Linked DNA regions of Coturnix japonica. The protein of the gene in region 5 interacts with the protein of the main gene of each other region in a pairwise test. Links are inferred from orthologs where the notes say so. Each region holds a gene or a part of one and is shown on either strand. Other genes may lie near its edges.

The links.
Region 1: the proteins of ITSN1 (region 5) and WBP11 interact in a two-hybrid assay, tested with the Homo sapiens proteins (2 studies listed by BioGRID and IntAct). The link is inferred for Coturnix japonica from reciprocal best matches to the Homo sapiens genes ITSN1 and WBP11.
Region 2: the proteins of ITSN1 (region 5) and CYTH1 interact in a two-hybrid assay, tested with the Homo sapiens proteins (2 studies listed by BioGRID and IntAct). The link is inferred for Coturnix japonica from reciprocal best matches to the Homo sapiens genes ITSN1 and CYTH1.
Region 3: the proteins of ITSN1 (region 5) and LMO4 interact in binary tests that used the Homo sapiens proteins (3 or more experiments, as listed by UniProt). The link is inferred for Coturnix japonica from reciprocal best matches to the Homo sapiens genes ITSN1 and LMO4.
Region 4: the proteins of ITSN1 (region 5) and SNAP25 interact in a two-hybrid assay, tested with the Homo sapiens proteins (2 studies listed by BioGRID and IntAct). The link is inferred for Coturnix japonica from reciprocal best matches to the Homo sapiens genes ITSN1 and SNAP25.
Region 6: the proteins of ITSN1 (region 5) and DLGAP1 interact in a two-hybrid assay, tested with the Homo sapiens proteins (2 studies listed by BioGRID and IntAct). The link is inferred for Coturnix japonica from reciprocal best matches to the Homo sapiens genes ITSN1 and DLGAP1.

The regions. Positions count from the first base shown.
Region 1 is NC_029516.1:43,747,176-43,751,792, forward strand, and holds part of WBP11 (WW domain-binding protein 11), read left to right. Parts: intron 1-173; coding exon 174-370; intron 371-991; coding exon 992-1,125; intron 1,126-1,658; coding exon 1,659-1,858; intron 1,859-2,596; coding exon 2,597-2,791; intron 2,792-3,403; coding exon 3,404-3,505; intron 3,506-4,158; coding exon 4,159-4,467; intron 4,468-4,617. UniProt on the Homo sapiens protein: Activates pre-mRNA splicing. May inhibit PP1 phosphatase activity.
Region 2 is NC_029533.1:4,591,061-4,595,677, reverse strand, and holds part of CYTH1 (cytohesin-1), read left to right. Parts: intron 1-117; coding exon 118-198; intron 199-306; coding exon 307-419; intron 420-492; coding exon 493-641; intron 642-718; coding exon 719-830; coding exon of another isoform or gene 831-831; intron 832-3,416; coding exon of another isoform or gene 3,417-3,418; coding exon 3,419-3,495; intron 3,496-3,646; coding exon 3,647-3,718; intron 3,719-3,939; coding exon 3,940-4,094; intron 4,095-4,222; coding exon 4,223-4,301; 3' UTR 4,302-4,617. UniProt on the Homo sapiens protein: Promotes guanine-nucleotide exchange on ARF1, ARF5 and ARF6. Promotes the activation of ARF factors through replacement of GDP with GTP.
Region 3 is NC_029523.1:13,757,483-13,762,671, reverse strand, and holds the start of LMO4 (LIM domain transcription factor LMO4), read left to right. Parts: upstream 1-1,681; 5' UTR 1,682-4,669; intron 4,670-5,189. UniProt on the Homo sapiens protein: Transcription cofactor. Plays a role in establishing motor neuron identity, in concert with MNX1, acting, at least in part, to disrupt LDB1-LHX3 complexes thereby negatively modulating interneuron genes in motor neurons.
Region 4 is NC_029518.1:11,889,031-11,894,259, reverse strand, and holds the start of SNAP25 (synaptosomal-associated protein 25), read left to right. Parts: upstream 1-2,116; 5' UTR 2,117-2,277; intron 2,278-5,229.
Region 5 is NC_029516.1:94,850,360-94,855,487, forward strand, and holds the start of ITSN1 (intersectin-1), read left to right. Parts: upstream 1-1,680; 5' UTR 1,681-1,873; intron 1,874-5,128. UniProt on the Homo sapiens protein: Adapter protein that provides a link between the endocytic membrane traffic and the actin assembly machinery. Acts as a guanine nucleotide exchange factor (GEF) for CDC42, and thereby stimulates actin nucleation mediated by WASL and the ARP2/3 complex.
Region 6 is NC_029517.1:90,585,201-90,590,357, forward strand, and holds the start of DLGAP1 (disks large-associated protein 1), read left to right. Parts: upstream 1-1,776; 5' UTR 1,777-1,962; intron 1,963-5,157. UniProt on the Homo sapiens protein: Part of the postsynaptic scaffold in neuronal cells.

The DNA.
Region 1 (4,617 bases), about 51 Mb from region 5:
AGATAGTAGTCAAACACTGAGTAATGATTATATTAGTGACTTTTGGTCTTAACATTGCAGACTTACTGGAAATACGAACTGCAAGTGGTTTGGTTTGAAGTTGTTTCGTTAATTTTAATTGTAAAGTAGAGTAACTTTTGAGTTTTTGGCTTGCTTTTGCTGTCTTCGATTAGAGTTTAACCCAGTGCAGCAGCCACAGCTTAATGAAAAGGTGCTAAAGGATAAACGCAAAAAGCTCCGTGAGACTTTTGAGCGTATCTTACGGCTCTATGAGAAGGAGAATCCTGACATCTATAAAGAACTGCGCAAGTTGGAAGTGGAGTATGAGCAGAAGAGAGCACAACTCAGCCAGTATTTTGATGCTGTCAAGGTAATGCTTGTAGTATTGAGGCTTGTGACTGTACTATGTACTCCTCTTTAGGTGCAACAGTTTGAAAAGAAAGGCCTTTATAAGGGACCAGTAAATATTTAGTTAATATTAGGCACACGTACTAGGTTGCTTAGTAACTCCAGATGGTGTGGAGGATGAGAAGTCTGTATTTCTCTCTCTTAAATTGATTTAATTTATCAATAGATTAAAGGGAAAAGGGAAAACTGATCAGATCAACATCAGAATCTGTTTTGTGAATTAAGGAGAGAGAGAACATATGAATGTGCGGTTAGCATTCCTGCTAAATCTGGATCTGGAAATAGTTATTTGGCATTTATTTGAGGACCTTTCTGCATAATTCTTCCTGTATGGAAGAATATAATGTTACACAAGTGCAAGTATTTAAAATCTTCTGGAACATGCAGAGCCTGTGATTTAAGCTTTTTGGGTTCTCAGGAGGTGTAGGCAGACTTGTCTGCAGTTTTGTTGTTTCGGGGACAGAACAGACCTTTGGCAAGTGATGGCATGTCCCATGTGTCAGGTGTTCTTAAAGATAGTGAGACTGTGTAGTAACTTCTGTGGAAGTGACTCAGTTTTTATTTTTGCCTTTTCCTCTCCCAGAACGCTCAGCATGTTGAAGTGGAAAGTATCCCTTTACCTGACATGCCTCATGCTCCCTCCAACATCCTTATACAAGACATTCCCCTTCCTGGGGCCCAGCCACCTTCTATCCTCAAGAAAACATCAGCCTATGGGTAAGAGGGAAAGGATGCTTGGAGGGGAAAGGAAAACAGGAAATGTTTTTTTACTAGGAAAGAGCTGGGGTTGGAAGCAGAGGTAATATTGAGTAGCAGAAATTGGAAGTTCTGTGAGTGTGAATTGGTTTGTTGTGTGTTTTTTGGTTTTTTTTTTGATTTAAGTGAAAAACCTTAATCTTTCCTTCCTGTTACAGTTTTTGTTTAAACTGATTTGGGTTGTATTTTGTACCTTCTAGCACTTGTCTTTCTGTTTATTGGTCAAACTTAAAGCCCTGCTGTGTTGTTTGAACATAAATGCCCCCTAAACTGTCACGTGGCTTTTTTTGGTTTTTTGTCTTGTTAATACATTCAGTTTAAACTCCTACTTTATTTGTGTATCTGGCTCCTCAAGCTAGTATTAGCTAGTATTAGCACTTCCTATGCAAAAATATATATTTTTTTCTGAGTAGTTTGATTTCACCAACTTGCTGTATAAGCTGTTTGTATTTGTTTGTGACTTCCCTGGTTTCCATTTTCTGTCTTAATTGCAGACCACCGGTTCGATCTATTTCTATGCTTCCCCCTCCTGGGCTTGGTGTTCCACGTTTACCTCCTGGCAGGAAGCCCCCAGGACCTCCTCCAGGGCCACCCCCACCACAAGTCCTACAGATGTATGGCCGTAAAGTGGGTTTTGCTTTGGAGATGGCTCCTCGAAGGCGAGAGGAAGACGTTTCTTATGGTTCTGAACCAGGCAAGGACTTTCCTATCTCTTTCTGGGTTCTTTCTTGCTGTTGATAGTACTGCTGTGAGCACTGTGCGCTCTAGATAAGGTATCGTCTGGGTAATCTGAATGTTTTTACTAGAAGAACTCTTTGTGTGATTTGCAATCTTGAGCTCATTTTGATATATTTCGTAACATCTGCCATTTTGTTATTGAGTCTATTTCTAAATGCTGTATCTTTTATTTACAGCTTGCAGATTTCATTATGTTGCATAAACTGTTTTCCTACGTTGTCTTAGCAAGGCAGAAATGTGTTTTACTCTCTTTTTAAGGAGACAATATGTATATTTGCAGAGAATTAATCTTTCCCCCCACCTTGCTATAAAACGCAGGAAAACAAACAAAAGTCCTAGCACCAAAACTGGGGATACATTTTCAAACAGTTACTGTATTTTCCATACAAGCTTCTATGAATGGGTAGATCAGCCTTACTGCATACCTAAAAGGACTGAAATATTTCTAGAGGGGGAAGTTGTATATTGCAGTTCCCTTCACTTATTTACTGCCAGTTAATCAACTGTTAATAGGAAATCTTACCAGCATTCTCCCCAGAATACTCCTTAAGAGTGTGCTAAATAGCAAAGGATTGACAATACATTGCTCACTCTGTTGCTAGGAAGATTCTTCTTACTGTGAACTTAAAATATTCTGCCTTTCCCACCAGTGTGCTTGGAGTTCATGTCTGTCTTAATACTTTGCTTTTCACAGGACAGCGAGGGCATGATGATGATATGTCCAGTACAAGTGAGGATGAAGGCTATCCTGAGGATATGGATCAAGACAAGCATGATGAGAGTAGTGATGATAGTGACAGTGATAGGTCAGATGCAGACAGTGAAGGTGATGACTTCCCACATCGTGATAATGACAAGGAGAGGGAAGGCGGAGAAGAAAAGAAATCAGGTATGATGGGGATTTACAGGTTGGACTTTTGAGTTTTCAGAGGAAAAGTACTACTGAACAGTCTTTGTTTTCCTTACTGTGGGGAAGGGAGAAAAAAGTAGTCTGTTTAGACAAGGAATTCTGTTTTGGCTCGTTGAAATTCCAGCTGAAGAATTATTTATTGATGAATATATTTATTGATGAATGTGAAGTATCTGAATGTGCAAGATTTGTCACCTGAAGCCTTGAAAGAGCAAAAGATCCCACAACAAATTAAGCCTTACTCTAAAATATACTCATTCTTTGGTGACTTGAATAGTACTTCTGTGATGGGTGCACTATTAATGCTTTTGAATGATGTCTCTTGATTGTTTAAAAGAAGTCCAATTGACAGAAAATCCTAGGTTACCAAAAACATTGGGAAGAAGACGGCTCTTAATGATGCCCCTAAATAAGAGTTATGTCATAATGATGTATTTTCTGTACCAAGTGAAAGACTTCCATGTGTATTTCATGTGTACATTCATCTTAATGTTTTCATATATTATATAAATATGTATCTTATTTTTATATTCACTGATTTATTCTGTTCCCACTGCCCATTTTTTTTTGTTTGTGCTTTGCTTTCCCCAGGTCATAGCGTACGGTTTGCAGACATGCCTGGGAAATCACGGAAGAAGAAAAAGAACATGAAAGAACTGACTCCACTCCAGGCCATGATGTTACGAATGGCAGGTCGGTGATATGGATACACTGAGAGGAAGCATGCTATTAGATTTGCAGATGAGGTTTCTCTGGTGAACTTAATTTGCACAGTCTGTTTTGTAGAAGTAAATGCATTACTGCCATACTTGAAAATCTACTAAGAATGTACGTAAGATGTGGTTAGTTTTAATTTAGATTATTATTTTTAGCCTAGTGCGCTCAGACTGTTATCTGCAGGGTTTAATACTTCCTAAAAATATCCTTCTGAAGAAAGGTATTAACCGATGGAGTCAAGACTTTTCATTTTAAATCGATACAAAGACAACACTTGTATCTTTTTTGGGGTGGAGGGGAGAGGAGAAAGGAAGCTGGGAGAAGATGGGTTTCTTGGAAGTGGTGGTTATGTCTATTTTGGGGAATAAATAATCTGTGATATTTTCTATTTTAAAAGTTTTATCTCCCACAAACTCAAATAACTGCAGTTCAGATTTATTAATAGAAGTTTTAGTTCCCACAGGAAAGCAGAACTATCTAGTTGTTTTTTTTTTTTGCATTTTGTGTATATTAATTAGTATAATCAGTTTTCATTCCTTTGAGGGGAATTTCTTTTCATTCTTATTTAGTGTTTTATGTTGCCAAATTTATTACTTGTGGACTGATTTTATTAACGTGTCTGTTTCCAGGTCAGGAAATCCCAGAAGAAGGGAGGGAAGTGGAAGAATATTCAGAAGAAGAGGAGGAGGATGAAGAAGACTCAGAGTCTGAAGACACATCGCAACAGCAGCAGCAGCAGCAGCAACATAGTGAGGAAGCTCTTGCAGAGACTGGGTCGTCTACTGCAGCCTCAACACAGCAGCAATCTTCGCAAGCCGTTGCTTCAAGTCAGATACAGGCACCTCCTATGCCTGGGCCACCTCCACTAGGACCACCTCCAGCCCCTCCATTGAGGCCCCCAGGGCCACCCACTGGCCTCCCTCCTGGCCCTCCACCAGGTGAATATTTGATTTGTTTTGTTTTGAAGAATGCAGGCTCTCAGTACTACAGATGGTTTATCAGTGTCAGGGTTATGAAGCTGCGGAGCATTTTAGACATTAAGTACAGAAGACCAGTGTGGTATTTGCTGAGACCTGTGAGGTTTCTTC
Region 2 (4,617 bases), on a different chromosome or scaffold from region 5:
CCCATAGCCATAGGTTCCCTATCCTGAGTGCAGAGAGCAGAGCGGGGCAGGGGGCCATGCGGCAGTCACAGGACGGGCTGATCACACACACCTCGTGCTCTGGCTTTGTTTCTGCAGGGACGAGTTTAACATCCAAGTCCTGCACGCCTTCGTGGAGCTGCATGAGTTCACGGACCTCAACCTCGTCCAGGCATTGCGGTGAGCCGGGGGCTGAGTGGGGCTGGGCTGGGCTGTGAGCTGTGTGCCCTGCAGGGCCCTGAGGGCTGGAGGATGCAACCAAAGCAGTGCTGTGCCTGCTGTCCTCAGGCAGTTCCTGTGGAGCTTTCGGCTGCCGGGAGAGGCACAGAAGATCGATCGGATGATGGAGGCCTTCGCACAGCGGTACTGCCAGTGCAACCCTGGCGTCTTCCAGTCCACAGGTGAGCACAGCTCCAGCCCTGTGCCCTGCTCTGTGCCCTGCCTTGCACCTGACTGTCCTCTCTGTCCCCGCAGACACCTGCTATGTGCTCTCCTTCGCTATCATCATGCTGAACACCAGCCTGCACAACCCCAACGTCAAGGACAAACCCACAGCAGAGCGATTCATCGCCATGAACCGTGGCATCAACGATGGGGGGGACCTGCCTGAGGAGCTGCTGCGGGTAAGGGATGGGATGCAAGGATTCAGGGCTGGGGCACAGCGGGCTCACAGAGGTGACACCGTGTGTGGTTGTACCAGAATCTCTATGAGAGCATCAAGAATGAACCCTTCAAAATCCCAGAGGATGATGGCAATGACCTCACACACACCTTCTTCAACCCTGACCGGGAGGGCTGGCTGCTGAAGCTGGGTAAGTGCTGGCAACCAGATGGGTGCAGCCTGGGCAGGGTGTGCTCTGCCCCAGGGTCTGGGCTGAGCCATGGGTATGATGCCCACAGACTGCCTGCACGTGGCTCTGTGGAGCACAGCCCTGCCAAGAGATGAGGGGCTGCAGCCATGAGCACAGCCCGCATGGACAGTGTCCGTACCTCTGTCCCTCCATCGGCCTCGCATTGAGCAGCAGGAGCAGAGCTGCTATTGGAGAGGCCCTTTGCTGCAGCCACGTGGGCTCCCAGTGGGATTCTGCCTGGAGGCTGCTGTGCTGAGCTGGTACCTGGCTCTGGTGTCAGATCACAGAGCTGGGGGTGCTCTGCACAGCGCTGGGACACAGCAGGGTCCCATCAGAGCCCCAAGGAGTGAATGGCGAGCTGCCCCCGGGCTGCGTGTCCCCCTCCATGCCTCAGAGCTGTCCCTGCCTCACCTTCCCACAGCATTATCACCTCCGCATCCCGGCTCCACATGCAGGCAGCGTGCATGGCATCCCTGCTGCACAGCCCGGCACTCGCAGACACGAGCCTGCCCTGCCCCACACCCTGCCCCACACCCTGCCCCACACCCTGCCCCACACCCTGGCTCCTGCAGCTTCTCATCTCGACACCTCCTGGGGACCTCTGCCCGGGTTGAGGAGGGGGGGTGCTGGCAGGAGCAGGGGCTGCAGGGCCTTTCCCTGGGCTCTTGCTGAGGTTGGGGCTCTGTCCTCTCACTGGGGGGAGTTTTTGCTCTGTTGCCACCCCTGCGAGATGGGATCAGGACCTTATCCCTTTCCTTGCAATGACCAACACAGAGCCCTGCCTGGGCACTGAACAAGGTGTTCCCTAGCTGTGGGGTGGGGGTGTGAAGGGCCATGAAGAACCCTATACCCCTGCCTTTGTGTCCCCATAGAGCCCGGAGCTCTGCTGGTAGAAGGGTCCCATAGCATGAGGGTGGGGGCTGCTCAGAGCCAAGGACACCGATAGTGTAGCAGAGCGGTGCCGTGGCCCATCCCCTCAAAGCTCCCCATCTGCAGCCCTGTCCCGCTGACACACACGGCTCTGTGCGGGGTGAGGGGGGTTCTTCGGGATTTCCTCTTTTTTTTTTATTTTATTTATTTTATTTTTTCCTTTTTGTTTTAATTTTCTTTTCTCCCTCATTTGTATGTTTCCATGATTTTGGCTCTTCCTTTCCTTGTCCCCCAACTCCAGGAGGTACGTACCCCTATCCCCTGTACCCCTTTTATCCCCTGCTCTGCTCATGCCTCTGGGGGCTTCGTTTCTTTTTCGTTTTTAATCGCTGGCGATTAGTCTCATTGCTGCTGCTGCTAACCACCGCACCGCCCGGGGGGACCTTGCCTGCAGGGGACAGCCCCGCACCCGCAGCCACCAGGGCAGGGACGTGGCTGCTGGTCCCTCCGATGCCGAATGCTCCCCGAGGTGTCCTGGTTCCCTCTGCTGCCCTCGGTCCCATCATAGGGACAATTGGTACTGGTGTGTCCTCAGACCCATCCGCAGAGGGTCGTGGCCTCCAGTACCGTGAGGGATGGGGCTTGGATTGTGGTGTTTCAGGGCATTCAGGAAGGACCTGCAGCTGGCTGGGTGCAGGGCGCTGTGCAGTGCTGCAGCTCATGGCTGTGCTGGTGCTGGGCACAAGTGCTGCCCTGGCTCAGCATGTGGGCACACTCTGGGCAGCCTCAGGGCTGTGCTGGCTCTCAATGCCACACGGTTCCTCCTCCAGAGCCCTGCCATGTTGTCACCTGGTGAGGCTGTAGCCTGCAATGAGGGCTTGGTGGGGGCTGGAGGGCATCAAGTCTCCTTGGGTTGTGGGGTGGGCTCGGCTCAAGGTGAGCAGGAGCAGGGGGGCTTTGCTGGGAAATGCCGGCCCTGCCTGGCTGTGGGGCAGGGAATGGGGTGTGCAGCCTTTCCCAGGAGCGGGCACTGACTGTGGCTGGGTTAATGGGTGGGCAGTGGGGTGGGATGGGGGGGGATATGAGGCAGGGATCTCCCTGCAGAGCCGGACAGGGAGAGAGGAAATGAGCACATTCCCCTCGTTGCACACATTGCTTCTTTGTGGGCAGCATGGCCTGGGCACCCATACAGCAGCACTGAGCAGAGCAGCTGGTGCTTGGAGCGTGTGGGGGTGCGGGGGCAGAGCCAGGCCCAGCACTGCAGCACTCTGAGCCTGGGGGGGAGCAATGTGCAATGGCAGTGCTGGGTGTAGAGCTCCCTCCAGCCACTGTTCGCATGCTGCAGCACCGAGCTCTGCTTTGCCTTGGCATCGGGCTGTGCTGCAGGGCTGGAGCTGCAGCTCCTTCTGCCGCACATCAGTGCTTGTAAGCGGGCACGGCAGTGCTCCCATCCCTGCCCTCCCACCTCCCTCTGCCTCCATCCTCATCCGTCTGCTTTCCGCTCATGCTCTCGCCCTGCCGGCGTGCTGTGTGCTGCCTGCTGCTCTGCGCTGCGGGCTGCCTGCATCTGCTTGTCTGTGTGCGTCCGCCTGGGCTGCAGCACTGCCGTGCCGTGCCGTGCCATGCTGTGCCATGCAGCAGCACCAGGGCTGCCCCCAACCGCCTCTCTCTGCTCCCAGGAGGAAGGGTGAAGACGTGGAAGCGGCGCTGGTTCATCCTGACCGACAACTGCCTTTACTACTTCGAATACACGACGGTCAGTGATTTACATGGGGGCTGGGGACCCTCGGGGGTCCCATGGCCGTGTGGGATGCAGACGTAGCACAGAGTGCTGGGAGCACTCAGCCCTTCCTATGGGGCACTGGTTGGAGGTGTCTGTAATGACAAGCTCTGCTTGGCCCCATCAGGATAAAGAGCCACGTGGCATCATCCCCTTGGAGAACCTGAGCATCCGTGAGGTGGAGGACTCCAAGAAACCCGTGAGTGCCCGGCAGGATCCTGCAAGGCTGGAGGGTGGGATAGGGAAAGCCAGAGGGCCCCACTGTGGTGGCAGGACACAGCTGTGGGGTGATGTCACAGCATGGCCCCATCCTGCTGTGCTGGGTGTGCAGCCCCACTGCTCTGCACCATCCTCCCCCAGCCCAGGGTGCCCCACTGCACTTGGTGTGGGGGCTGTGTCTGAAGGGGTTCCTCCCTGCAGAACTGCTTTGAGCTCTACATCCCTGACAACAAGGACCAGGTGATCAAAGCGTGCAAAACGGAGGCAGACGGGCGGGTAGTGGAGGGGAACCACACCGTGTACCGCATCTCAGCCCCCACACCTGAGGAGAAGGAGGAGTGGATCAAGTGCATCAAGTGAGTGCTTTGCGGGCCATCCCCTGCTGTCAGGGTGGGTGGCAGCACATCATGGGAGCCATGTTATGGGGGGAAAGGGCTTCCCGTGGGGTACAGCTGCTGGCTGACACTCTCTGCTTCCCCACCAGGGCAGCCATCAGCCGGGACCCATTCTACGAGATGCTGGCTGCCAGGAAGAAGAAGGTATCCTCCACCAAGAGGCACTAGCAGCCTGGCAAGACCACCATGCCCCTGGCAGCACCATACCTCCATCCGCAGGGCTGCGGGGCTGGGGCTCAGCACGGCCCTGGTGCCAGGACCCAGCTTCAGCTTTGCAGTTTCTTTACCGTGGGGGGAGGGAGGGAGCAAGGGTATCTCAGTGCCATCACCACCTCGCTTCCAGACAGCTCCAGGCTGCAGCTGGGACTCCCTTGCACACAGTCCTGGGGTTGGCTGTGAGATGAGAAGTGTCACCTGTGCACATCGCCCTCCCCTCCCACCTTAGCAGCCCAGTGCTTGCCCGGCATCCCCCCACTGAGCTCCC
Region 3 (5,189 bases), on a different chromosome or scaffold from region 5:
TGTTGGTGAACTTTAGTTGGTCCTGAACACCCCTTTGTCCAAATACACTGCTCAATAATAACGCTTTGTTCTGTCTGTAACAGCCATGGAAGGATTTTGAGTGGAATACTCATTTTCTTTAAGTCATATCTGCCAGTGATCATTCTTGGCTTAAGATCAGCTGCCATTTATGTGTTTTATGAAAATATAACACCAGTTTTATGCTCAAAACTATTCTTTTTTAGGTAAAAGCTTCAGCACAAACTGGTTCCCCATATGTACCATAAATGCTATTTATCACAGGTTTTGGTCTTTAAAACAGAAAGATAATGTTAAAACATTTTCATTATCCTTTCCTTACAGCTATCATTCACAAACCATCTTTTATAATTATGGCACTAGGACATTTACATAACTGGGAAAAAGGTCCTTAAACTACATTTCTATTATGTTTGGCACTTGTGTGAAAGGATATTATATTCATGTGCATTAGAGATTGCTTATAAAAGATCAAGACAATAATAGCAGATCAGACGATAAAGGTTCCCTTTTCTCCTCCCAGACAGGCTGTCTCTGACAGAAGAATACAGTTCATCAAAAGTGTCTGCAGGTTGTCAAACTCAGTGAGATTTGGGGACACTCGGAGGCTGTCATGGCCAACAAGAAGATTTTCTGTAGGGTTCTGCCATCATTCACCCTCAGGAAATAATCACTCACTACATTCTGCATGCTCTCATGATAGAGCTCTATTTGAGAGAAAAGAGCCATTTTATCAAAGGACAATATATCCCTTCTCTTGGTCCATGCAGCTTCCATTATCAGACTATAATAAATCATATTTATGTTCTCAGTTAATAAGACTGATTACAATGCAGGTTACAGGCATGGGAAAAGCAAAGCAGGTGAAAAGATGTTTTAATGAAAATATGATAAGCAAACAGCTTCTTGTGAACATTTCAGGCTGTTATTTGTAATGATCACAGGCATTTTTTGATACATCTTCCTTAGCAATGGTTTAAGCTGCATAAATTGGCTTGCCACTTTATACGTCGAAATAGGAAGAATCCCAATGTCCTTCTCATGTTGTCTGGAATCATTATATACATTATAAGCATAAAATGAGTTTAATGTATGTGCTTTGAAAAGAAGGGGAAAACAGAAAATCAGGGAGGACTGATTTTAATGCTGCTCAAAATGATTTTGAAATTTTCTGCTCATCTTTGTTACTAACGGAGCATTTTCCATGAAATTTAGGAATGACATGTGGTGCTTTCATCTCCTTAAAATTAATATACTTCTCTTTCTGTTTTTCTCAATTTCTTCAAAGTTCTTTTTAGAACACTGTGCAAAGACAGAGAGAAAATTCTCCACTCGATGTGTGAACATATCTGTTATTAGTGCTGGGGGGAGTTAAGTGTGTGCTTCTAGAGGAGAATATAGCTCTGCATTAAATACTGGAGTAAACCCTATTAAAAAGGTGCAGGGATATTTAGCTGCAGCACACCTGATGCATTCAAAGGCCAAATTCCTTGGAATCTTTTAAAGTGATTAAGATCTCTTTTGTTAAGAATTCTCCAATGATTTCAGAATGTAACTGTACCTAAATAGCTGATAAAATGTCCTGCTCTTGTCTTGCCAAAAGCTTTCTTTTATGTTTTATTGTTGCTTTTTTTTTTTTTTCGTAGTCATTTGGTTTATGTTTAGCATCATACTTTCAAGACAAAGTTAAAAATTTAGAGAATAATTTCCTCCTGCTAGCACATAACGCTGACTAAGTACATCAAAATCTACAGCACTTGCAGAATGCGAACATTATGCTTATAATGTATATAATGACTCTAGACAATATTAGAGGGACACTGGGATTCTTCCTATTTTGACAAAGTGGCGAGCAAATGCAGAAGTCTCTGTGGTGTTGTGTGTCTGCAGGAGCTGTTCTGGTCACTGACACTTCTAAAACTCTCTTAAATAAATGTTAAAGCGTTGTAATGGGCCTGGCAATGGAGAATGACCATGAAATTTCCTTAACCCTCTTAGGGTGCTTCAGCAGAAGTGATCTCACAAGAAACAGTAAACTGCTCTTCAAAGGCAGTATCCTGATATGACAACAGATGTAGATAATGCACTTCATGATGGAACTGCTTGATACAGAGAAAAACATGTTGTAACTGCCTTCACCGTGAAAGGGGTTTAAAAATGCTGCCTGCCAACTCCACAAAAAAACAGAGCTGCTATTTCAGTTAAAGGCCAGTGGATTGTATTTTTCATGTCAGTTTTCACTAACCTCAAACATCACTGTTATGACAGACTGTCAACCAACCAAACCAGAACTGTGGTGCCATTCAGGCAAGAAGGAAGAAAGCAAACACAAAGGAAACTTAGAAGTCCAAATAGTAAGAGGGGGTGCCTATGAGTGCACTTTTGTGCAGTGATACTGATTACTGAAAATGAAACACTTAAAAGAAAATAAACCCAAAAAAGTGCTTTCTGAGCCATTAGTGTTTTCTTGCCTGGCAGTTTCTCTTTGTTCTGTTTCATGACATCAGCCTCGGTGGTTGAAAGGGTGTTCTGGGCCAGATGTCAATCACACTGTCTGACATAAACAAAAATAGCTAAAAAGACATGCCAGCATCTTCCTTTTGTTTTCCCATTAGCTCCATTTTTCTTTTCAGAGGCTGACAAAAAATTACTGCCTCCGAGTGAATTCAGTAATGTCACTATATATCTAATATCTAGGAGACCTTTTGTTTTAGCTTTACTGGGCTTAACCACAAAAGACACTTGACATTGACAAAGAGTCTGTCAAATACACAATGATCAGTGCAATGAAATCTCTCATGACAGAAGGGCACTATTCTGCACCCCCAGCCTGCAGCAGCCTGTCTGAGCAAAATGTGCTGGAGCACACACAGCAGCTGAACCATTGCAGAGCAGGCCATAAGCTGAGATGTGTCTTGTTTAAAGTGTCATAGTATATTAGTGTAATTAAAACCGCCAAAAGAATAGAAAAGATAGATGGAAATGTTACATTACTTGTTTCTAGAGATTAACCTCCAGCCAGAACTGAAATACAGAGACACATTTTGCATGTCTTAGAGCTCAGATATGGAAGAAAACAAGCCTGAGAGTATGTCTCTTGAAGTGTGAGACATGAAGTCATAGTTCCTGTATTTACACAATAAAGCAGAAATAGCATTTCAGACAGGCACGCTGTTTTCTCTCTGATTACAGCTCCTGTTGTGGCTGTACTCTGCAAAGCAGCTGTATCATCTCTCAGCTACTTCTATTTTACTCTCTCTGCCTTCGTTCTTGGAAGATCTTGAGGACCCTTGTGCTGGTGTCAATGCCTTCTGCTCCCTTGGCATCTGCCAGAGTTGTGTGGGCCCCGCCTGGAGGCAGAGCACCCTATTCCTGCCGGTGGCTGCAGAAGCCACAGCTCAGCTCCAGGCTCAGCAACACCCAGCTAGGGAGATGTCTGAAGAGTGGCTTCAATATGACCTTTATATGCCAGGCTGCATGCTTGCTTCTCTGCTGATTCTATAGATAAAACTGTATGGCTTTCTGAAGTTGACCCTGAAAATTATGTTCCCAGCACTGCATGTTTTCCTTCCCATGCATCATTACCTGTGATAACTATTCAAGCCTAACTAGTTATGAACTCTGTTTCTAACCATGACACAAGTTAAATCTGTTGGTAAAAAAGCCTTGAAGTTTTTGTGGACCTGTTCTGCTGTATAGTCTGAACCTTGGTTAATCCAGAATCTGGAGAGGACATGATCTGGCTTCAGCAGTTCTGAAACACTGCAAAAGCAGCATGGCTTTCTTCTAACGTAAGCCTTACATTCAAGGAGAAGATGCATTAATCACGTAGGTCTCATGTTCATTTCTTCCACTATAAATGAACTTCAAGGCTTTGCCCCATTAGTTGGTCAGTTTGAAGTTAAGAGATGTTAAATATAGGCCTTACATTTTCGGTTTCCTCATACTTCCTCTATTTCCCAGCTTTAAATATCAGTTAATGACTTCTCCATATAACAGTACTCTTTAATTTCTGGTCAGAGGCTGTAAATGTGCACTGTTAGTCAAAAATATGTTATCTGCATTTAGTGTTGGCTTCTGGAGCCTTCACCACCAAGTTACCTCACAGTCGCATCTCTCTTCACGTGATTTTCCAGGTACTGCCAGGAGAAGAATGGAAAATGACTATGAAATAAAAGCACATTCTGCTCCCATTACAGGCAATGAAAACTGTGCTTTTACTTCTACTTACTCATAATGGTGGGGGGAAAAAATGAAGTGGAAACAAGCACAACAAAACACCTCTGCCAGCTATCTATAAGCTAACCAAGGCTTCCACTAATGAGGTGGTCTGGCATTTTGAGAAAGACGGGTTTTTCCAGAAATGGAAAAAATATGCTGTTTTTTTCCTTCAACTCTGAGAGCTTAGTGAGAGAGTAAGAAATTGCATTTCAGAGGGATAGCAAACTTTTAATGCTCTCAGTATTATTTAATACTTACAGACACCAGTGTAGTTTCTTGTCAGTTGAATGTTTTTGCATGTTTATTTGTGAGATTACTAAATACTTTCCTACAAACTAGTTATTTGCTGTATTTACAGATTCATCTCAGTGACTGTGAAATTCCTGAGGATGTTATTACTTTCAAGTCAGATTAACAGAGTAATTTCCAGGTAAGATATTCTGGAAGATAATACCATGGACAATTGCATAGTCTATTAAACAGAACTGAACTGTTTGTGGAAAAGATAATAATCTAGATCACAAGATAGCACCAGATTTTATGTTATGATCTCCAAATGTCTTTGGGAGCTTAATGCACTCAGCATTAGTTCAAGTCTAATTTGCATGGCAGAAAAGTGAGTTCCAGTTTCCACCTCTCTGGGGCTGTGTTGGGAAACTCTTGTCTCCCTGGGAACTGCAGAGGACAGGCTGCTATGGTTTGGTTATGCTTTGGCAAGAGTATTCACCATGTTACTAGCTGCTCCTGGAGTGCCCAGTGGTATCAAGTGCAGAAAAGAAAAGCTTTCACCTTAGACAGTGAGGTGTTCAGGCCTTTCTACTATATCCCCTATCACAGCTGGCTGAATGTTTTCCTGAAGGCCACAGATTTCCTGGAGGTTCTGGTGAGTCACATCTGTCTCTGAGCATGACACAGTGCACAAAACCTCTCAGGGCTTCAGGTAGGATTTT
Region 4 (5,229 bases), on a different chromosome or scaffold from region 5:
CTTCTGTCTCTGACCATCCCTGAGCACTCTTTCCCCAAGTTATGCTGCATGACTTCTTTATTTTTTATTTTGCCTTCACTGCATTTTCCTTACAGGCATTTGACAGAAGCAGCCAAATTCATCCCTGTTGGTATCCAATGGACTGAAATTCTTCTCAGCAGTGTTATTTGGCTGAATCCAAACTCAGTCAGGATTTTGCAGTGCTGGTGGCTCAGTCAAAATAACAGTTTATAATTTCTCTCTCGCTTTCCTTTTCTGCCGTCACTGTGAATTATTAATAAGAACTAGCATTGCTCTCTTAAAAATTGAACTTCATTTCAAAACCACCTACCAGACAAGCTGTCTGAAAATTTCTTCTTAACTTTCTGTGTGTACTAAGAACTTGCAAAGCACAATGCATGCGCATGGACTGCCTGAATTTCAGACCGAGACACACGCTGGGATTCCTCTTGCTTTCTGCAGTGCATACCTAATTGGAGTGCTGGCTACTGTTAACCCATATATGAGTTGAGCAGAAAAGGTTTGCCTTTCCATACTGTCATTTATGATGCTAAATCCAGGTCCTGCTCAAGGTGCTGATCCAGATCCCTCACCTAGAAGGGGGGCTGTCTGCACAGCGTTGATCTCTCTCTACTTGTCTGCCTTTACAGCCCTTAAGTCTGACAGGTTCTCTCCTTCCCTGCGGTTTTTGTGTGCACAGCTCATCAGATACTCTACTGCAGCAGGAAGCCCCTCTTCCCTGAGAATTCCTTTGTTGTATATTTAGCAAACTTTTGACTGCTTCCTTCCAAACGAGACTGAAGGACATATTTTCGTAGGAGAGGGTGAGAATTGCAAAGCACGATCTACAATCACGTTTTTCTATGGGGAACTACAGAGCAGGGGAGGAGGAATCACCGCAGTTCTTTCTCCTTCCCCCCCCCCGCACCTCCCCTCCCCTTTCTCTCCTCCACCCCCATACAACCACAACATGAGACAAACGTGCTCCAAAATACAGCTGCAGAGCCTTCCCCCTCTTCCGGTCTTCCCTGCCATGGCAATAAGGGAAAAAAAGACATAATGATTAGGGTAGAATTATCACTAATATGAGACTGATGTTTTGACACCGTCATCTGCAGACTATTTAGAAAAGCCATTAGCACAGTGTCAGAGTTAAGCATAGCCAGTGCTCAGTGACTGCTCACAAGAGAGGCTCAGACGGAGGCACCTCTGCTCATGGGTAGGTCTGGATGGTTCCATACACGAACGTGCGCAGGCTTGTGGAATGAAAGGGAAGGGATAACTGAGGTTATGAAAGAGTGTCGCATTTCAGATGCAATCCCCATCCTTCATTAAAATCTCCGTTAAGAGATACCTTTTACAGAAAGATGTTTTGTAACAAATGAGAGGATTTCCTCTCCATTAAATATCACACTACAGACAGCTCCATTTGCTCCAAATTAGGTAAGCTCTGAATAAATATTTTAATTAATCCATGATAAATAAGCCAGGCTTTTTCCCAGAACAGAGTCACTGCTTTCCTCCTTGGCAGCAGCGGTCTGTTCTCTCTGTGCTGTATGTATGCACGTACATGCCTGGGTTTTTTGTGAGGGCTTTTTTTTTCCCCCCTTCTCTCTCCCTTTTCTAAACCTGTCTCTCAAATGATCGGTTATAGCACATGTCCTTATCTGTGGATTTCCTTGCGTTTGTGTGCTCTTATTTCAGGGGGGAGGAGAAGGGGAATAATCAGATTAACACACTCAGACCCGTGGCAGGATGCTCTGAAACATAAAAAGAGGGAGAGAAGGAAGAATTCACACATAAAAATAGAAGCCCACGTAGATTGGCCATATATGGAGTACCGGGGACTTCAGAGGGATACCCTCTTCGGACCACCCCTTTGGCGGAGGCATGTTGCTGCAGGAGGCCCCTTCCCCCCTCCCCGGGCGGTTCAGCCCCCGGCCCCCAGGCTCGGAGGAGGCCCGGCGGGGCCGTTTGTCGGCGGGGCGAGGAGATCGGAGCGGGAGGCGGCGGCGGCGGTGATGACTCAAGCCCGCCCGCCCGGCCCGCTCTGCCCCCCGCCCGCTCCCGCCTCCCCCATTCCCCCCCCCCCTCCGGGGAGGGCTATTAAAAGCTGCTGACGTAGGAGCGGACGGCCATCTTTGATGAGGGCACGGCTCTCGGTCCATTGAAGAAGGAGACCCGAGGAGGTCAGCAGCGGCTGTCCTTGCCTCCCAGCTGCGGCACCGAGACACCAACCCCGCCGAGGCGGCCCGGCGGAGCGCTGCACAAGCCGAGGTAAGGGCGGGAGACCACCGGGCCACCGACTGAGCAAGGGGAGGGGGCTGTATGAACGAAAATGAAGCGAAAAAAGGATTTGTTTAAAGGGGGACGCGCTCGGCGTTTTGTCTCCTGTCTCTGGGCTGCTACAGGGATGGAGGAAGTCGAGGAGAGGGGGGGTAATGCCGCCGCCAGCCTTATCGCCGGCTGGAACCATGGGAGGGAACCGAGCTCTGTGTTTCCGCTGTATCGGGCACGATCGAAGGCGGCAGGGAGCCCGAGGAGAAGGGCAAGCAGCGCATTTCTAACCTGTACTGGGAGCAGGGTGCTGCGGGGCTCTCTGCTCTGCTGGGTCGCGCAGGGCTGCAGCCGCCCAGGGCACTGCAGCGCCCTTCCCGCACCGCACCGCACCGCGCAGGGCTGCGGCGGCGCTTCGGCACCGCGGACGGAGGCCGGGGGGGAGGTCAGCAGGGAGTACTGCGGCTCTGCGGGAACGGGAGGCGGTTCAGCACCGCGGACAGCGTCCGTCAGCACAGCGGACAGCGTCCGTCTTCAGCACCGCGGACAGCGCCACGGCGCCCCGGGCTTGGAGCCGCGCTGCAGGCGGAGGCGGGTTCGCTGCAGCGCCCTGCGGCTCCGCACCCCCCCCGGGCAGCCAGCCCCGGGCAGCCTCTGCCCTGCCGCAAGGGAAGCGAGCCCATAGCTGAGCTGCTAGCTCCTTCCGGGACGGGACCTCAGGCTGAAACAGCTGGGGCTTTGCGGGGTTTCTCGGCAAGTCGAAGCGCAAAGTGGGAGAAATAATAATAATAATAATAATAAACAATAATAATTACAAGCTTCGGTTCTTGAAATTAAGCGGCTCTTCAGCCTGTCTCCCACCCGGCCGGTTGGTGGAAGGGCATTGGTGCAAGGGAAACGGGAGTTATGTAACACCTGGTCCGCGGGGTCTCTCCGGACCAGCGGCAGCCCCTAGGGCATCCCCGCAACCACAGAGGGTCGGCCCCGGGCATTCTGCAGCCTTGAGTCGGGGCAGCTCAGCTCCTCATGCAATGCAGGCAAACCCACCTCGCACTCCTGACCCTGGCATCCCTGTCCCTGGCGTTCCTCTTCCCCTGTCCTTCCTGCTCCCTGGCACCCCGCTTTCCTTCTCCACTTGGTACAGCTCACTGCTGGCAAAGTTGGTAACTTTGCTGTTTTCTGCAGGGCAAATAAACAAGAGGGGATGAGGGAAGTGGGTTGGGCGTCCAGACATTGCACTGCGTAGCTGCGTCAAATGAGGGCCATGGGATCTGCCAGATTTACGTGCTTGGCTTGAGTAATTGCTGCTGGTTTCATTCCCAGCTGAAAAGGGGGTGGGGGGGAGGAGGTGGGGATGGAGAGGCTGGTCTGTGGTGAAGCCTGGGGATGGCAGATCAACCCACCAAGCCATACGTGGTTACTGTCAGCCCCAGCTGCCGCATCCACAAGGACATGCCTGTCCCTCTCCTCCCTGCTCCATCCTAGCTCTGATCTCCATAGACCATGACAAGACAAGGCTGGTCTGGAGGCAGACACCTCTATGGGCTGCAGGGGAGGAAATGGGGCCATCTGGGTGATGAGAGCTCCAGGGGATACAGATGAAGAATCCTCCTCCCATATCCCTGCATGTCACTGAATCATGGTCAAAGATACCAGTCTAGGAAAAAGTGGCAGTGGTTTTCCATTGCTTCTGCATAGTGCATAAGGGGATGGCAAGGAGGTCACTTTGATTCCTAGGATGAGTGCCAAAGAGACAGCAGAAGTGACCAAAGCAAAGGTACAAGCAGGCCTGATTTGCAAAAGTGAGAGCTTGAGGCTCCCACTGAAGTCAGGAGGACTGGAAATAACCGAGCATGTTACGAAACAAAATGCAGCTAAACAGCAACCCCAAGTAAATGCAGTTTAACTATATTTATACAGCTAGCTAGGAAATGATAGTGAGATATCGGATTCTATGTCCACTGAACTCATGAGGGCAGAAAAATAAAGAACCCTTAAAGTACATCTAATGAAACACAGCTCCAGTTTGCAGATTTACTGCATTGGGGGTGGAAGCTGTATTTCAGGTCATCAGAAAGCTTTTCATTCATCTCTGTACAGGTTAGGCATGGCAACAGACAGTGAGATTAAACTGCTAAGGCAAATAAAGTGTAGTCTATATCTAATTCCTGCTCTGCTATAACCGAGCAAGGTAACTAATCAACATGCTTTCCTGTCTTATTATTAACTTAAGCAATTTTTAGGCTTTTGTGTCACAAGCCTATGTTGCAACAATTTGAGGTAAAATGGCAAGCATACAGCAGAACGGAGAACTCAGTCTCTTAATTCCTTCTCTCAGGAATGTAAAAAACCCTAGGAAGAAAGGAACTTGGTTTACCTTGGCTTGTTACACTACCATACTTGTTCATTTCATTTAATTTTTTCCTGATTTTTTTCCTCAATTTTTCATAACTAGAGTATAATCACAGCACTTTCATTATTAAAACACATGCACATTTATTTCAGACTTCTAGGGCTTAAGTCACTTAAAACTACAACAAATGTAAACTCACTTTATGGCCTTCACTGAAGTGAGTATGTTTTTCTTTATCTGAAGTTTCCTCTACTGCTAGAAATGCAGTCACCTTTGGGCTGGGTGAGTGCCAAGTAGTCTGTAACAGTATAATTGTTGAAGCTTTTTAGAGCATCTAACGCAGAGTAGAAAAATGTGTTTGAGAACAGCAGCAGGCTGCAGGTCTCAGGCAGATCACAATTACCTCTAGGAGGTTGGGCTTTGGAAAAGGCACTAGGGTTCATATATCTACTCCTGGGGGAGCTGGATAGAGTTTGTCAGGAACATCAGCTGTCAAAGTATAGATTATTTCTTTTAGCTCATCATTTTTGAGCCTTTACTGATACCTGCGCCCTTCACTTAGATATACTCTGGCTTCCTTCCTTACTGACTTAGCAGAT
Region 5 (5,128 bases):
GGACACAGTAACTGTAATCACGCAGCAAGTACAGAGAAAATAAGCAACTAAAGCATTACATTAATTTCTAACCAGAATAACGATTGTTTGCAAGCAACAGAGACACGATGAGTCTTACAAATAAATTTTAGAACAGATAAAGCATGATAGAATCACAGAACCATAGAGTGGCTCGGTTGGAAGGGGCCTCAAAGTCCACACCTCTACAATACTTGCTGTGGGCAGGGCTGCCCCCCACCAGCTCAGGCTGCCCAGGGCCCCATCCAACCTGGCCATGAGCGTCTGCAGGGAAGGGGCACCACAGCTTTTATGGGCAGCTGTGCCAATGCCTCAACTGTTACCCTATAACACATTGTCTCAATGTCATCGACAACAGTGCAGCAAATGGTGGGGACTGAGATGTACTGCAGAAGGCAACGGATGATGTGTTAGCCCAGCAGTAGATGGGGAGCTTGCCACCCAGCTGAAAGGAATACAGCTTGAGTAGCTCAGATAAAGGCAGCACAAGGGGAAATAAAACTGCTGCAGGGATACCAGGAACCTCGCACATAACAAGAATCACAAGTTGGGTTTTTTCCCTCCTCTCCCAGCTCCTCTAGCACACATTGCTCTAGACAAAGAAGAACCTTTTTGCAAACAGCTTTCTTCAGGTTCCGTGGGGAAGGAAAGCACAGACAGACACGGAGACAGCCCGGCATCACATTCGCACACACCACCTGGGCCCACCACAGTCATTTCTGTCACAACCAAGCGCCCTTCACAGAATCACAGAATCACAGAATGACCCGGGTTGGAAGGGAGACCTCAAGGATCATGTAGTTCCAACCCCCCTGCCTGGCAGGGCCACCAAACATACACATTTACTAGATCAGGTTGCCGCCAGGGCCCCGTCCAACCTGGTCTTGAACACCTCCAAGGACGGGGCATCCACAACCTCCTTGGGCAAGCCTGTTCCAGGCCTAACCACTCTCCTAGTGAAGAACTCCCACTAAACATCCAACCCTAAAGTCTTCCCTCTTTAACTTAAAACCATTTCCCCGTGTCCTGCTATTGTCCCTCTCCGGGTACCCGCCCCTCGGGCCGCCCAACACCCCCGGTATCCCATCAGTATCTCCACACGGCTCCCACACCAGCCCCCCAGACCAGCACAGCCGGGTCTCCAGCCCCACCCGCAGCTGCTGCCCGTCAGACACAGCCGCTCCCTCCCGCTCCCGCCGCCCAGCCGCCCGTTGCCATGACAAACCGTCGCTTCCGCCGCGCTCCCACCTCGGCACCCTCTGGAGAGCGCGGGTCACGCCCTCACGCTCCGCCCCGCCGCAGCGAGCAGCTTCGCGATTGGACGCTCGGCGTGAAAGCGGGAACACGATTGGCTAGGTTAGCCGTCACTCACCTCCGGCGGGGAGAAGGCGTGGGCCGTAGCTCTGCTCACGCTGCAGCCAGCAGCGAGGAGAACGAGGCGGCGCTGAACTGATCCCGCAGCACAAAGCCGCGCCTCCCCGCCCCTCTCCCCGCCCCTCGGGTGCGTCCCACCGCAGCCGTGTGGGGAACGGGCCCAGCCGCCCTCGTCCCCGTCTCCCCTCGCCTCACACCGACCCCCTGGGCGCGGAGGCGGAGTCTGCGCGGCGCTCGCAGCCCTTGATAGTGGGCGCCCTCCTGCCCGTCACGGGGCCGCGGCCGCGCGTCACTACGGCGGCTGCGAGGGCGAGCGCCGTGCGGGCTCCTCCCCTCAGCGCCCGGCAGACGGCGGCTGAGGAGGCAGCGGGAGGGGATGGTGCGCCTGGCGGAGGCGGTGGCGGGCGCCGCTCCGGCTCCTCCATCCCCCCCGCCGTCGCCATGGGTGTGAGCGGGGCCCGGCGGCCCGCGCAGATATGAGGTACGGGCTGAGGGGGGTGGGACCGCCTCGCTTCCAGCCGCCGGTTCTCGCTCCGTCGCGGTGGGGTCGGCGTTGCCCCCGGCCCCGCGGCGCCTCCGCCCGATGCGGCCGGGCTGACACGCGCCTCGCTGCCCCCTTCGTCCTCCGTGTCCCCCGCGCGGTGCCTGGAGCCCACCGAGCGGCCGCTGCCCGCCGGCTTCTCTCTATCTATCTTTTTTTCCTCTCTTTTATTTTTAAAATTTATTTATTTATTTTATTTATGTTTTATTTGTTCTCCCCGCTGCGGCGGTGTCTGGGCGTTGGGAAGCGGGGCGATGCGGTGCCGGTTGGCGTGTGCGCGGCTCGGTCATACGGCAGCCATCGCGCCTCGCTTTGCAGGGGGGGCCGGGGGCAGCGTCTCTCTGCTCACGAAGAGGGACTGCGGGGGGAGCACGGCGCTGCTCCGTCCATCGTTTCTGGTTGCCGCCGGTAACTTTCCGGGTTGGTTTTCCTTTTGTTCTGATTCAGCCTCTCCGTTATTTGGGATGGAACGGTGATTCGGCTCGTGTTTTGAACTCGGCTTTCCCCGTGGGGCGTGGGTGTTGTGATAAGGAAACCGGTTCTATGGATGTGAGTAAGGGAGCGTTTGTTGAATGAATACTTTTTTTTCCCGTTAAAAGAAGTGGTATCCCGAATGTGACGGTGCGGTGCTCCTTAGGGCAAGGAAACAGCATGTTCTCCTATGCCATTCTTTCCCCCATTGGATGTCAGGAAAAGGTTCTTCACCAAAGGTGAAGGGCTGTGGGCACGACCCCGAGTGCAGGAGTTGAAGGAGCATTTGGACAAAGCTTTCAGATGTAGGGTTTGATTTTGGGTGGTGCTGTGTGGAGCCCACAGTTTGACTCAGTGGTCCTGAGAAGGGCCACGAAGATGATCAGGGGGCTGAAGCACCTCCCCTATGAGGACAGGCTGAGGGAGTTGGGTTTGTTCAGCCTGGAGAAGAGAAGGTTGCGGGGTGACCTCATTGCAGCCTTTCAATACCTGAAGGGAACTTACACCCAGGAGGGGAGTAAACTCTTCGAAAGGGCTGATAATAGCAGGACACGGGGAAATGGATCCAAGTTGTAGGAGTTGATTTAGGTTGGATGTTAGGGGGAAGATCTTCACTAGGAGAGTGGTCAGGTCCTGGAACAGGCTGCCCAGGGAGGTTGTGGATGCCCCGTCCTTGGAGGTGTTCAAGGCCAGGTTGGACGGGGCCCTGGGCAACCTGATCTAGTAAATGTGTATGTTTGGTGGCCCTGCCAGGCAGGGGGGTTGGAACTACATGATCCTTGAGGTCCCTTCCAACCCGGGTCATTCTGTGATTCTGTGATATGGGTCCCTTCTAATTCAGGATCCTGTCCCATAGCTGTAAGGTACGTTGCTTGTTCATATCTCCTATGGCAATATATGCTTAAGGTGATAGTTAAGTATTTTAACACAAAAGTATTTCAAGGAAACCTCCAGATACGTGCAATTTCTCCTCAGTCAAATAAACAAACTCTTGGTGTCCATATTGATGGCTCTGGAGAGTATCGGACTGTGCAGTGATGTTGCACACTTGGCCCTAATCTTTTCTTCTGCCCTTTCTTTCTAGTCACCTGTAACCTCTCTCAATGCTTACAACCTGATGCTGTATATAGCGTAGTGAGCTTTGGTTACCGAGTTCTTTCCATTGTGAAATGCGTGTGCTGCTGTTCCCAAGCCCCCATTAGGAGGGTATGATATTGAAGGAGGAGCCTTATATCAGCTATATTCAGGCTCCCAGCTGCAGCAGCCAGGGGTGTATTTGTCTTTGGTGGGGGGTGGGGGGGGGTAAGATGTGCTGTAAGGAAACTGGTTGCCTTCTTTGCATTAACTTTACATTTAATCTAGACGGTCATCCACATTTAGGCAATCAGCTTGGACCATTGGAGCTCGCGTGATTAGCACTTGTATGCCCTGACTGCTTTTGGCAGCCTTACAGGGGTCATGTTTCGTACAGATGAACTGTTTCCGAACAGTTTCTCCAGTGTGTTCGTTAGGCTCAGGCTTCATCTGAACCGAGCTGGTTGCTCTTTGCACTTGCTCCTTCTCAAACCACGAATTAAATTCTTGCAGTTCTGCTGTTCCCACTGTAATATCTGGAACCGGAGACAGTAAGATAAGTTGGTTTTTTTAGAAGAGTTTTGGTTTTTTTCTTTAATTTTCCTTTGTATCCCAGTTTGGTGGAATCACAGAATGACCCGGGTTGGAAGGGACCTCAAGGATCATGTAGTTCCAACCGCCCTGCCTGGCAGGGCCACCAAACATACACATTTACTAGATCAGGTTGCCCAGGGAATGACTATTGAGATACAGTAAAGCAAGAGCCGGTGTCTCCAAATAAACCAGTGACCCTCAGTGCCTGTTCTGTCTGCTGCTGTTGTAGTTATAGCTGGTGGGAAATGTGCATACTTGCTTGTTAATACCTCTAATCACGCAATTAGCTTAGATTTGGGTTCAGGAAAGAATGTGAATCTAGCAAGTAAATCACTGTGAATGGTGATGACAAATCTACCTTTGTGCTGTAAGCATAGATTGTAATTTTAGCTTTCGGTAGGATAACACCAGGAAAAATAAGCATTTCTGCCCGGGTTCGAATCCCCCTGTGGCACAAGTGGTAGAAGTGCCGCTCTGCTACACAGAGGCTCGAATCCCGGGGATTGGACTCGATGATCTCTAAGGTCCCTTCCAACCCGCACGAGACTGTGATACTGTGATAGAAGAGGTTAAAAACCAAAGAATTTAAATGAAAGTCTCGACAGTGGTTTGAGGAGAGGGAAGAGGATAATCATCGGGAGTTACCAGCATAAAACAAGTGCTTGTGTTGCCTTTAGTAATGGGGGGAGGAGAATAAACCTTCAGCGGGAGGATTTGTTTGTAGTATGTATTTCAGGCAGGGATGTCTCTGAAATTAATCTGCATGGAAGCAAAGAGACTAGAACTTTTTACCATTAAAATAAAGCCAAAACAGCCCGTAGTTGGCCAGGAACATTAAGCGCTTGTTGCTATTGTACTTAATGCAGCTGCTGAACTTGAAATGGCCCCTACGCCCAGAGTTGGTTTTGTTTTTACTTGCATAGCATGAAATTGGCTGGTAGAGTAGACAATTAGAACTTCGGGCTAGTCTGAGGTCTAATGATGCACTATTTGTATGCATAAAACTCTCCTATGAGGTGCCAACATTTCAGTGTGGTATATGTGCCAGAAGTAGTT
Region 6 (5,157 bases), on a different chromosome or scaffold from region 5:
CATTATTTTTTTTTTTTTTTTGGCAGAAACATAGAGTTACAGTGTTGTTTTTTAGGGGGGGGAGGAAGAATTGGTGGGATTTTTTGTTTTGTTTTTTGCTGTTGTTGTTCGTTTTCTCAGTTGCTCTCCCGAGGTGCCTCTCCGACAAGGGTGCAATGAAGTCCCCTAGAATAAATGGCCAGAGGAGTCTTTTCTGAAGGCGCGTCCTTGAGATCGGGAGGGGAAAGCGGGAGCGAAGAGCAGCTGTTGCGGGGCCGCGAGGCAGCACGCTGGCGGCTCGCGGTGCCCGGCCGCCGTAGTAGCGAGCGGCTCCTCCGGTGGTTGGGCTGGGGAGCGCTGGGCTCCTCCTCCTCTCCCCCCCAAGCCGTGCACAGCCGGGTATGTGGCTGATTAGTCTCCCCCCGTCTCTTTTTTTTCCATGGGTATACACACCGAGACTCGCACATGACAGTACTTCGGCGCGAGAGCCGTTGCATCGCCAGGAGGGCTGTGCTTCCACTCCTGGCACGCATACACACACACACACACAGATACACGCTACTGCTGCCGCCGCTGCTGGAAGTCTTTCTACACAGGGATTAGCAGCCGCCTGCGTCCCTCTCCCTGTCTTTCTTCTCCTTTTCCTTCCTTCTCTCCTTCCTTCCCACAAACGCTTGACTAAAGGACGGCGGGCAGAAAAAAGGTAAATGCTTGCGTGCGTGAGTGCTGTTTGCCGACAATAGCGATGGGTGATCGCTTCCCTGGCAGCGCGCTGCGCGGCTCCGCTCCCAGGCAGCAGGCTGCCCTCCTGCCGAGCCGGCGGCTGCCGCTCCCCGGGACTCTCCTCCCGGGGGATCGCGTTGGCTGCGAGAGGTGTCGCTTCCCCAGCCCCCCCTTTCACTTCCCCCCCGGACGTGGAGGTAAAGGTTGCCTCTGCTTTGCTCCTGAGCGCTTGCCACCTCAGCCTGGCAGTGTGGGGGAGTGCCGAGCGAAAGGTTGCGCGGGATGAAGGTTGCTATTAATCGCCGGGTGCGCGGAGGAGAGAGAGCTCTTTTCGCTTCGGCAGGGAACCCGTGCATTATTAATCAGGGCTGGAGAGTGGCGACGGAGCACGAGCCCTACACCGATTTCTCCCCCCGCCCCCCCCCCTCCGTTTGCTGCATCATTCAACAGAGTAATTTCTAGCTGGCCTCTCGTCGTGGGGCTTTTCTCCCACTATCCTTACTGCGGGGATATCGGCGGACGCCGGGGGTAGCCCCAATAGGGGCGATCCTTCTCCTGGTCCCGGAGGGGGAGCGAGGCGAGGGCACTCAGCGCTGCCTGCGGCGACCCGCGGGATACGGGCTCCGTGCCCCAGGGTCCCCGGGCGCCGGACGGGCTGCACAACTACTTGCCGCCTGTTGTTGCGGCCGTTTGTCCCGTGTCCCTCCTTGGCAGGAGAAGCAGAGTGAATTTTTGCCCCTTTTCTCCCCACCTCTAGCCAAGCCGAGATGCGGTGCTGTGCGGGTCAGCTCTGGCCAAAGAACCGCGAGGCTTGCCCGAAGCCGGGCTGCAGCAGCTACAATCTGGCTTCCGTTCAGCGGGCTCTCTCCATGTCGAGAGGGGAAGGGATGGGGGCGGCGTGAAGGAGCCCACGGTGTCGGACTGCCTCCGTGAGGATGGCAGGGAGGAGGAGAACGGTCGGCCTTAAAGCTGGGCCACTGCCGTGCCTCAGCCGGCACTCCCGAGGCGACGGGCAGCCCAGTGGGTGCTTAGCGCAGAGCCGCCAGCCCGCGGAAGTATTGAGGCGCAGGTGTGGGCGTTTAGTGGCCGAGAGAGGCGGTGACAGCAGCGACAGCAGCCCAGGAGGGGTTAAAGCTCTCCCTTGGGAGCTCCGGCCTCCCCTGGGTACTGCTCTCCGTGCGCTGAAAGGGGAGCGTGGGGATGGGGACACGAGCAACCCCTCTATCCTCAGTCCCTCCGAGAAATGAGGCGTTTAGCAAGGTCTGTTATATAATTGCGTCTTTTTGGTGTCATTCTTATTGCAGCCAGCTCGGGATGCCGGCAAGGAAAGTGTTGTAGCATGCCCGTTTTTGTAGCAGTTGATGTTGGTGCGAGAGCTGGGAGAAAATTTATGGAGTGATTAATATTTAACAGGAAGTACTTCAGTGTTGTACATGATTGATTTTGGGTAATCCCATTTCATTCAGGTTGTTTTGTACACCTGTTAGAGATACATAAACGTCGTGTTAAGGATAGAAAGCAAAAATAAATAATAAAAAGTAATAGAGGCAAAAACGGTGAGAAATGTTGCTCATCTGTGGAGTTAATTATATAAAAGAGTTGTTTAACCTTTTAGCCTACTTATACACACAAGGTAGGTGGGCTTGTAGGCACGGCGTGCGCTCTGCTGGTTATGTTGGATTGTATTTCAATATTAATGCACCTTTAAAAAGGCAACGCTAATTTGAGCCGGTATGGGGAGGCACTTGTGGTATTTCCCCCTCTCCTAAAAGAGCTGGGTTTGGTTGGTGTTCCCTCATCTGAATAATGACAATGGATCCAAAAGCCCAAGTGATATTCTGAGAGAAATGTGTTGATAGTAATAACAATTATGAGTTGTTGTATTTAAAATGTGATCGACAGAGTTCCTTATTTTCTTTTGTGTAGCCTACCTGTCTGTCCGATAATATGTATTTCAGAACTATTGAAAGTAGATATTGCAAGGTAATGAAAATGAATGGGAGCAATGTGTGCTGCTAATTAGGGAGGTCATCAGTTATTTTCACAGTGTAGGGTACAACAGTGTTCTGCTGTATGTATCCTTCTGAACTAAAGCTGTCTTTCTTCCTCTCACTAGAGCTGCCTACATTGAATATATGTGCTTAGGAGCTTATTCTGGTCTGTTTCTTAGGGAGTTAATGCTTGCATGCGTATCAGTATGATCTCTGTTAGATGTTGCCATGCTGACTTTCCTGTAGAGGTAGGTGGTGCCTCTCAGTGTAGCTTTAGCTAGCAGTGTTGCCACATGGAAATACAAAAAGAAAAGCATGAATAATGAATGACCTAGTAAAACCCAGAGTCGAAAGGCAGTAGTAAGCAGCCTCCGTGCTGTGTTCTCGTTTTGTTGCAGATCTCACTCCAGGCTCATCCCAGCCGGTAACTCAAGTTTCCACCCAAGCTGTAGAAGATAGGCGCAACGACCTCAGAGGGCATTGCCGTTTTAAGAAGATGGAGCTCAAGGCACTGGAGCATGAGATAGTTTATTCAGCCCTTAACCTCTGTAACCAAACTTAATTTTTACATCCTCTGTTGTATTATCTCTCAAGATTTAAGAAGGCTGTTCTTGCTGGGGACACGGAATTAATACTTGTTCTCCTCTTATTCCAAATTTTGCACTCGTGCACGAGGCTCATCCAAAGAAACCTGAAAAAGGGATCTCCATGGTAACGAGAGAGAGAGATTTTTCTCCCTCACCATAGGTCAGGATGAGACGCCTACCCGTTTGTTAACTTGTGGCAGCGTTTGTTGGCACCTTTCTCTTTGTGGTGACTTTGTCTGCTGGGGTGTGCTTTTACTGTTGGCTCATGCTCCCAGAGCATGGCTCTTGAAAATGGTGTTACACCAGTGCTGAGCACAGTCCCTGCATCTCTCCCACTTTCACCCTTCCCTTCCACTTGCATCACAAGTGGATGAACTTCAAAGTTCTCATGCCTGTGTGATTTGGTTATGGCATCTGAGGAAATAACCTGTTTTTGCTATGAGGCTATTGACTTGAAGGCCTGTTTTGGCTCTCACCGTATGAAAGGCACAACCTTATTTCTCAGTCAATCTCAGAATGAAGGGCAGTCATTTCTTTCCTGTCTCTTTTATTTGCCTGTGTTCTTTTTAGTGTCTGCAGAGGATTTTGTGGCAGCAAATCCTACCAGGGATTAGCATTATTTTGTATATGATACAATCGCTAATAGGGAATGTTGTTTTCTATCATAATTTTTTATTATTTTTAGGTGAGTTGTACTTGTCCCTTTTTATTGTTGTTCTGTTATCTTATTTGTGTTTTATGTTATTTGAAGAATAGTCTGCATATGCTGTGTCCCAGTGCAAGATAAGGTGAAATGAATACTTTCTGACAACAGGAGCATCAGGAATAGATAGTTATAACTTTCACTAAGGAATAGGGCATATCTTCTGTTCTCCTCTTCCTTTCTGTATTCATTTATCATAGCTAAGATCTCATGAGATGAGACCAAATGACTTTTTAAATGGTTCCCTTAGGCTGCTGATGCACCAGGTTTCTCTGGGCATATTTCCAGTTCTTTTGCCTTTCCCAGTGACATAGCTTGGGATAATTTGAAAACAACCATCTTAATATAAGACAGCAGACATCATTTGTTGCTGGGCAGTATGTCATTTGTGACTGTAATTGGAAGACAGATGCTAATGCTGATTTTAGCCTTCTTAACTTGCCTCATTGGCAGACTGTCTACAGAAACACTTCACTGTGCTTGGAAATCATGCAATATATTCCTACCTTTCTGTATTCCTGTTTCTGAAAGAATTGCCTATGCTATTTGAGAGCTAGTATGCTCATAATCTGGCTTGCAATGTGAATCTGACTTAATGTGTATTTTCAGTGTCTTCTACCTGATGTAAATAATTTTGCGAGAGTAGCCTGTGTAGCTTCTTCCTTCAATCTTTGTATACAAGAAACTTCCATTACCTTTCTACATGATGTTTTGTCCCTGTATTGGTAGTATTTCAATGACAATCATTCAGCTCATTTCATTCAGCTTTGAAAATGGGGGTTGGGTTTTTGTGTGTCTGTTTGTGTTGTTTGTTTGTTTTGGGTGGTGTTTTTCTTAGCCTTGCAGGCTGGCTTTGAGTGTAGGCTGCAGTAACTTGTGCTGATGTGTAACATAGAGGTTTCAACTTCTTAACTGTTGTGCCAGTGTAGTAACTGTATTGAATCTAGGCAAGGATTCATTGAGTTTTCCTCTATTTTGTGAAAAGGAGGAGTTTAAAGTGTTAGGGATGCCCAAAACATCAGTGTAAGAATTGTGATGAAATTTCAGTTTCAAGCTCCAGGCATAAATAATTATACCTGAAGATAACTGCTTTCAAGAGATATGGTGATAGAATGAAAAGAGTTTTTTGTTTGTTTAAATAAAAAACAGTGAAAATTTTCCAGCCAGCTTCCTG